Linked DNA regions of Danio rerio. The protein of the gene in region 2 binds, or shares a complex with, the protein of the main gene of each other region. Links are inferred from orthologs where the notes say so. Each region holds a gene or a part of one and is shown on either strand. Other genes may lie near its edges.

Region 1 (3,658 bases), on a different chromosome or scaffold from region 2:
TTCAATGGTTTTGCTTATGTTTGGAGATTTGTCAGTATTTTGGTGTTATTATTAGGGCTATGCAATACACACACACACACACACACACATACTGTATACATTATGTATATATATACATAATTATCAAAATATTGCAGATGTATATATTGCAGTATACATGCCACAGTGTGCATATTATCAGTAATTATTAATAAAAATATTATCAGTTATCTAGATTTGCCATTCATAGATGTTTTGTGTTTTTATTATATATTTTTTAAACTACTGATAACATGTTTTTTTTTTATTTCAAATGATAATATTATTATCATTTGCATAATTTATTTGCAGAAAAAGACAACAGTTGAGTATAAATAATTAATATTTTTAGATCATTTTTAGTCATATTTTCGCCAACATTTGGTTAAATAAAATATATAGAATATTACATGTTGACCGCCTAAAAGGTGTCTTATTTTTTCCACACTTTTGTTTGTTTTATGCCATTGATGTTAAAGATAACATATACTGTAAGTTATTAAATGTCTCTGTAGGTTCTGGACCGAGCTGAACGCATAAGAGATATGGATTTCAGCCTGCTTCCTGCTCTTCTGCGCCTACAGGAACTGGTACACACACACACACACACACACACACACTCAATTTTGCTAATGCTTTACTATAACAGGGTTACAATCTCATCCATTTATAAAGAGGCCAATGCTTAATAAGAGCCACAAATTTTGTTAGAATAGAGTACATGTGGAAATATAATAACTTCCCATCATTGATGCATTTTCTATCTGTTGCAGGTAAATGATAATGTGACCATTATCTTACTCAGCGAAATAGTGTGGGAAAAGTTTCGTCCTAACACCGGCTGCTTTGAACCTCTGCTTTTTCATTTCCCAGATTACAGTAAAGGTGAGTGGCAGATTTTGATTATGCAATAAAGAGCTTTGTTTTTACTATATTATGTAATTGTACCACAAAATAAAAGTGTTTTATAAACATGACTAAAGATCAGATTTGTCAATTTATGTTTTATGTAACTAAGAACCTTCTACTTGAAACATCAAATTTGTGATGGGATTAAACTAGAACGGGCATTTGAGGGCTTTTGTAAAACCGTTTGTGCTTTCTCAATATAATCACAATGAGGTGAGTTTTAATACAGGTTGCAAACAAGGACAAGGACACTGTTAATATTTGGATGGGTGTTTGAAACACTCTGAAAACTTCTGTTTTCTGGTTTCCACAGTGGAGCTTGTGCAGATTCTGTCAAAGGATCATCACCCATCCTACACACCTGAGCTCTACGCCTCCTACATAAACATCTTGCTGGGGGTTTTCTTCTCGGTGTGCAGGGATCTAAGGGAGCTCAGGCACCTGGTGAGATCATCCATCCCTTTAAATTGTCTAGGTCTATAAACGGAGCAGTTGATGTGTAGCAGTTTTTATGATGTTGCAGGTAGAGAGTAAAACTTTCTCTTTTTTGCATCTTTCACTGCTTCATAAAGGACAGAATTGAGCAAGTTCTACTAAACTGCCTAATATTCTAAAATACACTCTTAATTTTTGTTTAAACAGGCTATGCTGAACTTTTCCAAGTTCTGTGAACCTTTGGAGAAAGGAGAAGGTAAACACAGCTATGCATACAGTTGAAGTCAGAATTATTACCTCCTGAATTATTAGCACCCCTGTTTATTTTTTCCCTAATTTCTGAGAGGATTTTTTCCACACATTTATAAACATAATAGTTTTAATAACTCATTTCTAATAACTGATTTATTTTATCTTTGCCATGATGACAGTAAATGATATTTTACCAGAAATTTTTCAAGATGCTAGTATTCAGCTTAAAGTTAACTTTAAAGGGTTACCTAGGCAGGTAATTAGGTAAGTAATTGTCTAATGATGGTTCTGTAAACTATCGAAAAAATATATATAGCTTAAAGGGGCTAATAATTTTGACCTTAAAATTGTTTTTTAAAAAAAGAAAAAAATATTTTATTCTAGCTGAAAAAAGCAAATAAGACTTTCTCCAGAAGAGAAAATATTATCAGACATACTGTGAAAATTCCCTTGCTTTGTTAAACATCATTTGGGAAATATTTAAAAAAGAAAAAAATCAAAGGGGGGCTAATAATTCTGGACTTTAACTGTACATTTAATAATATATTTATTTATTTTCTGACTTTCTTGACTTATTTACTTTATTTATTTAAGGGCATAGTTCAGGGGTGTCCAAACTCAGTCCTGCAGAGTTTAGCTCCAACTTGCTTCAACACCCCTGCCAGAAAGTTTTTAGGACATCTAGTAAGAGCTTTATTAGCTGCTTCAGGTTTGTTTGATTAGGGTTAGATCTAAACTCTCCAGGACACCGACCCTCTATGACCGAGTTTAAACACTGCTGGCATAGTACAAACCCAATGTTAACTCAACAACCAAAGCTTCAAAAAAATACTTGTCTGTCACAATTATGGCTGCATGATTCTGGCTAGAATGACAATGACAATTTTTTTTCTTTGCTTAAAATGAAGATCACAATTTTCTCATGATTCAGTAGATGTAAAATGAAGATTCACATCAGTAGGCTATTATTATTCTCAAACATATAGTAAAACAACACTAATAATATTAAGCCTACAGTATGTGTAACTCTACTATTGGTCAAAATGCAAACTTTTGTACAGACTTGGTATTGTGGACTTGAATAAACTTTAAATTTCTCCTGGTTATTAATGTGTAATAAAGTGATTACATCAGAATACAAGTATTCATAATTCTGAAGTTGAATTATTATGTTTGAGACATATGCTTGCAATCTGTCATTGACAACATTTTTTTTGGTAAAATTACCAGATTCCTTTAGTAGTTATACTGCTGCTGTTAAATGTTTTTCTCATGCACAACACCCTGTGTTTGATATGAAAAAAAAATCAAATGTTTGTCGTAAACATAACTCTAAAATGCGATATGATCGTTTAATTGATATGCTCTCTTTCTGTGTCACTTTAACTGCAGAGTGGTAAACGCGTAGTTCACGGTTAATTGGCTGAATCTTAAAAATGCTGGATTAAGATCGTGTTGTAGGGGGTTGAATCAAGATCACAATCTTTTTTTTTTTTTTTTTTTTTTTTTGGATTAATCGTGCAGCCCTAGTCACATTTTTATCAAAAACTGATACTCGATGGCAATATGGCACCTGGTACATATTTCTAAATGTTGCACTTGACCAAATCTAAACGCATATCATTAAAATAAGTCAAGATTTGTCCACAAATTGTCAGTACTGAACCAGGGCGTTGTTTGTTTCACAGTCAAAAGAACACGAGAAACTGAAAACAACAGCATTATCGAAGTAGGCAATAATCATCTTGTAATCATCTTATTTTTTGTTTTTTTCAGCCAAAGAGAGTGATATCCACAAGTTATGGAAGAACATCGAGCCCCATCTGCATAGAGCCATGCAGACAGTTTACCTCCGAGAGGTGTCCAGGTCTGTGCAGTTCATGTATGGTGTTTGAGGTTGAGTTTGTGTGTCATCAGGCACTGAATGTTTGTGTTTTTGGGTTTTCTGCTATTAGTGTACAGTGGGAGCAGCAGCAGATGGACGAGAAGGAGGCCACAGCTCTCAGAGGTACACACACACAATCACACACTCTGCATGTTCAGA
Region 2 (3,658 bases):
CAATCTGAGATCTTTGCGTGTGTTGGGAAGGACAGATCTATCAATCCTCATGATCAGCAATGCAACGATTGGCTGACGGCACAGCAACGTAATGACATCATCTGAATAATATTCAATCATCTGTGTGTGCAAACTTGCATGCTACATCAAGGAAATAACTGCACTTCAGTCAAGCCAGACGGCTTGTTTTGTGATTTAATGCTGGCTATAACACTCGAAGGACGGTTACGGCATGTTGAGACGTCGGCCGTCACCGGAGAAAGTCTAATCTTTCATTACTTTGTTGGGGTTGTGTTTGAAAGCTTTAGTGGCACTGTAGCCGTCCAAGGTACTGTTGTATAAGTTAAATTATAGCCTATATATGCACCAATAAACAGGTCAAATTAATGAATAAATAAAATAAATATGGATTCTTAAATGTCGGTTTAGTTTTTACTCAAATATATTAATAAAATGTTTTATAAAAATAAAATGATCAATTAAAAAAAAAATCTTACAATTCAGTTAAATATAGTTTGGACATTTAAGGTTGGCATGTAACATGTTTCTGTGTTTTTTTTCTTCTCAGTGATCTTTAATACATACTGGGTAGCTACGCAAAATATTTTCTAAAATGTCAAGCAGGATTTTGTCTATAGCTTTAATTATGAAGACAATAAAATATTAAAGCTAACAAAAATAAAATAATAAAAATGCAAAGATAAAAAGAGCAGAATTTTGCTAAATTATAAAAAATATTAGTTTTTATTTTACTTGATGCATTCGTTATTTAATGTTTGAATACTGAACAGCCATCGGAAGGGGGCGGGCGGTGCTGGATTTGTGCGTACCTTGGAATGAAATCCTGCAGGCGCCCCTGCCTGTCGTCACGCATTAAAAGTGAATGGGAAGCGTTGATGCTGACACCCCGTGTGAATGGGACGTAAGTGTAAAGCTGTCAAACAAACGTGAAAATGGTAATGTGTATGTGAGTCATGGTGCTGCTACTACCAATATTCAAAATAATGACTGCACTGATTGAGTGAGTGGCATTAACTAGCGGTGATGTGTGAAACTGTCCAGGTATTGATGTAATTTAAAGACGTGCTGCAAAAATGCAAATATTTGTATCGAGAAAACGTGCAGCAGCATTCTAGAATCCACTTAGCAGTGCTCAAAATGAGGATTTGCATTTACAAGAAATTATTCTACTACATTTAATATTAATCTTGCCGCTTTATGCATGATGCTTTTGTAAACAGCTGTGAAGCACTTGATTCAGAAGGTTCTAGAGCAGCTGATGGGAAAAGCAGTGTCAGTGGATGAAGAACAGGAGGAGGATGCAGCTTTGCCTCAAAAGGCTCAGTGTACCATTAGTGCTCTGTGTCAGTGGTATAAGACTGCTACCAAGGTAAGAGAAGACTAGAAAATAAACTATGCTTAACTGCAATAACATGTATTTACGTCTGATAGAGTAGTCTAAATGCTTCTGTTAAGTAATTGAGAGTGTGTTGTGCATTTGATTAGTTTATTTCGGTGTGCTGAGCATCTGTCAATAATCATTATCACTTGGTCTTTTGCAGAAATGCTCTCAGAAAAAAAATGACAATGGCTTGCGTCAGAGTTTGCCTGTTGTTGTGATCTTCAAAGACTTTGAGGCGTTCAACTCACAAGTCTTACAGGATTTTATCCACATCTGCAGGTGAGATTTGCCTAGTCAAAGGCCCCGTTTACACTGCCAGTTAAATGTGACCCAATTCAGATAAATTTCTGTAATTTAATATCTGTTATTTTACGGTAAATTTCCTTAATTTAATATCTGTTATTTTACGGTAAATTTCCTTAATTTAATATCTGTTATTTTACGGTAAATTTCTGTAATTTAATATCTGTAATTTTACAGTAAATTTCTGTAATTGAATATCTGTTATTTTACGGTAAATTTCTGTAATTTAATATCTGTTATTTTACGGTAAATTTCTGTAATTTAATATCTGTTATTTTACAGTAAATTTCTGTAATTTAATATCTGTTATTTTACAGTAAATTTCTGTAATTGAATATCTGTTATTTTACAGTAAATTTCTGTAATTGAATATCTGTTATTTTACAGTAAATTTCTATAATTTAATATCTGTTATTTTACGGTAAATTTCTATAATTTAATATCTGTTATTTTACAGTAAATTTCTGTAATTGAATATCTGTTATTTTACAGTAAATTTCTGTAATTTAATATCTGTTATTTTACAGTAAATTTCTGTAATTTAATATCTGTTATTTTACAGTAAATTTCTGTAATTTAATATCTGTTATTTTACAGTAAATTTCTGTAATTGAATATCTGTTATTTTACGGTAAATTTCTATAATTGAATATCTGTTATTTTACAGTAAATTTCTGTAATTTAATATCTGTTATTTTACAGTAAATTTCTGTAATTTAATATCTGTTATTTTACAGTAAATTTCTGTAATTTAATATCTGTTATTTTACAGTAAATTTCTGTAATTTAATATCTGTTATTTTACAGTAAATTTCTGTAATTTAATATCTGTTATTTTACGGTAAATTTCTGTAATTGAATATCTGTTATTTTATGGTAAATTTCTATAATTTAATATCTGTTATTTTACGGTAAATTTCTATAATTTAATATCTGTTATTTTACGGTAAATTTCTGTAATTTAATATCTGTTATTTTACAGTAAATTTCTGTAATTTAATATCTGTCATTTTACGGTAAATTTCCGTAATTTATTATCTGTTATTTTACTGTAAATTTCCATAATTTAATATCTGTTATTTTACGGTAAATTTCCGTAATTTAATATTTGTTATTTTACGGTAAATTTCCGTAATTTATTATCTGTTATTTTACGGTAAATTTCTGTAATTTAATATCTGTTATTTTACGGTAAATTTCTGTAATTTAATATCCGTTATTTTACGGTAAATTTCTGTAATTTAATATCTGTTATTTTACGGTAAATTTCTGTAATTTAATATCTGTTATTTTACGGTAAATTTCTGTAATTTAATATCCATTATTTTACGGTAAATTTCTGTAATATCCGTTATTTAACGGTAAAATTCTGTAATTTAATATTCATTATTTTACTGTAAATTTCTGTAATTTAATACTCATTATTTTACTGTAAATTTCTGTAATTTAATATCCATTATTTTACGTGTTTTTTTATACCGTAAACTGTAATATTACAGTTTTTTTTTTTTTACAGTGTAGGTATACTTAAAATGTGTGTTGAGACAAGTTGGAGCTAAACTCTGCAGGGAGCCGTGATTGGTGACCCTTGTCTTAAATGGAATAAAAATAAATTGTATATGTTAATGATCTGAGAATCTTTTATCCCTTTGCTTCATTAACAGCCGATATATCCAGGAGCTTCCGTTCATCTTTGTTTTCGGCATTGCCACATCTCCCAGTGCCATTCAGCACAGGCTTCCCCACTCTGTGTCATCTCTGCTCTGCATTGAGGTCTTTCAGTCTGTCTCCTGCACTCAGCATTTAGCCTCTGTTTTTGACAAGGTTTGTTATTCAGGTCAAGAGGTTTTTACATTAATCCAAACTCTTCTTTGGGATTAATTATTTGTTTTCCTTCACAGTTAATTCTGAACGCTCACTTCCCATTCAAGCTCAGCAGTAGGGTCATACAGG

What was found. Proteins that work in one complex are often made in the same cells at the same time.
Region 1: the proteins of orc3 (region 2) and orc5 are in contact, whole or in part, in a cryo-EM structure (PDB 7JPO), measured with the Homo sapiens proteins. The link is inferred for Danio rerio from reciprocal best matches to the Homo sapiens genes ORC3 and ORC5. Residues at the interface, in NP_036513.2 of Homo sapiens: Glu99, Val109, Met144, Lys145, Leu148, His178, Ser180, Met181, Asp182, Glu223, Asp232, Ile235, Ile236, Gln239, His240, Ala253, Thr254, Ser255, Pro256, Ile257, Ile258, Ile259, Arg261, His265, Ser269, Cys272, Ile273, Glu274, Leu275, Ser280; in NP_002544.1 of Homo sapiens: Asn62, Val64, Glu65, Phe67, Thr68, Arg70, Leu71, Gln75, Tyr129, Leu270, Arg271, Ser274, Ser275, Ser276, Gln277, Leu294, His297, Thr298, His299, Val300, Glu301, Leu302, Pro303, Tyr304, Tyr305, Ser306, Asp360, Tyr367, Arg373, Pro376.

The regions. Positions count from the first base shown.
Region 1 is NC_133179.1:22,956,710-22,960,367, reverse strand, and holds part of orc5 (origin recognition complex subunit 5), read left to right. Parts: intron 1-533; coding exon 534-608; intron 609-791; coding exon 792-903; intron 904-1,240; coding exon 1,241-1,371; intron 1,372-1,569; coding exon 1,570-1,618; intron 1,619-3,390; coding exon 3,391-3,481; intron 3,482-3,569; coding exon 3,570-3,622; intron 3,623-3,658. UniProt on the Homo sapiens protein: Component of the origin recognition complex (ORC) that binds origins of replication. DNA-binding is ATP-dependent. The specific DNA sequences that define origins of replication have not been identified yet.
Region 2 is NC_133192.1:55,399,454-55,403,111, reverse strand, and holds part of orc3 (origin recognition complex subunit 3), read left to right. Parts: intron 1-1,241; coding exon 1,242-1,390; intron 1,391-1,562; coding exon 1,563-1,681; intron 1,682-3,369; coding exon 3,370-3,529; intron 3,530-3,606; coding exon 3,607-3,658. UniProt on the Homo sapiens protein: Component of the origin recognition complex (ORC) that binds origins of replication. DNA-binding is ATP-dependent. The specific DNA sequences that define origins of replication have not been identified yet.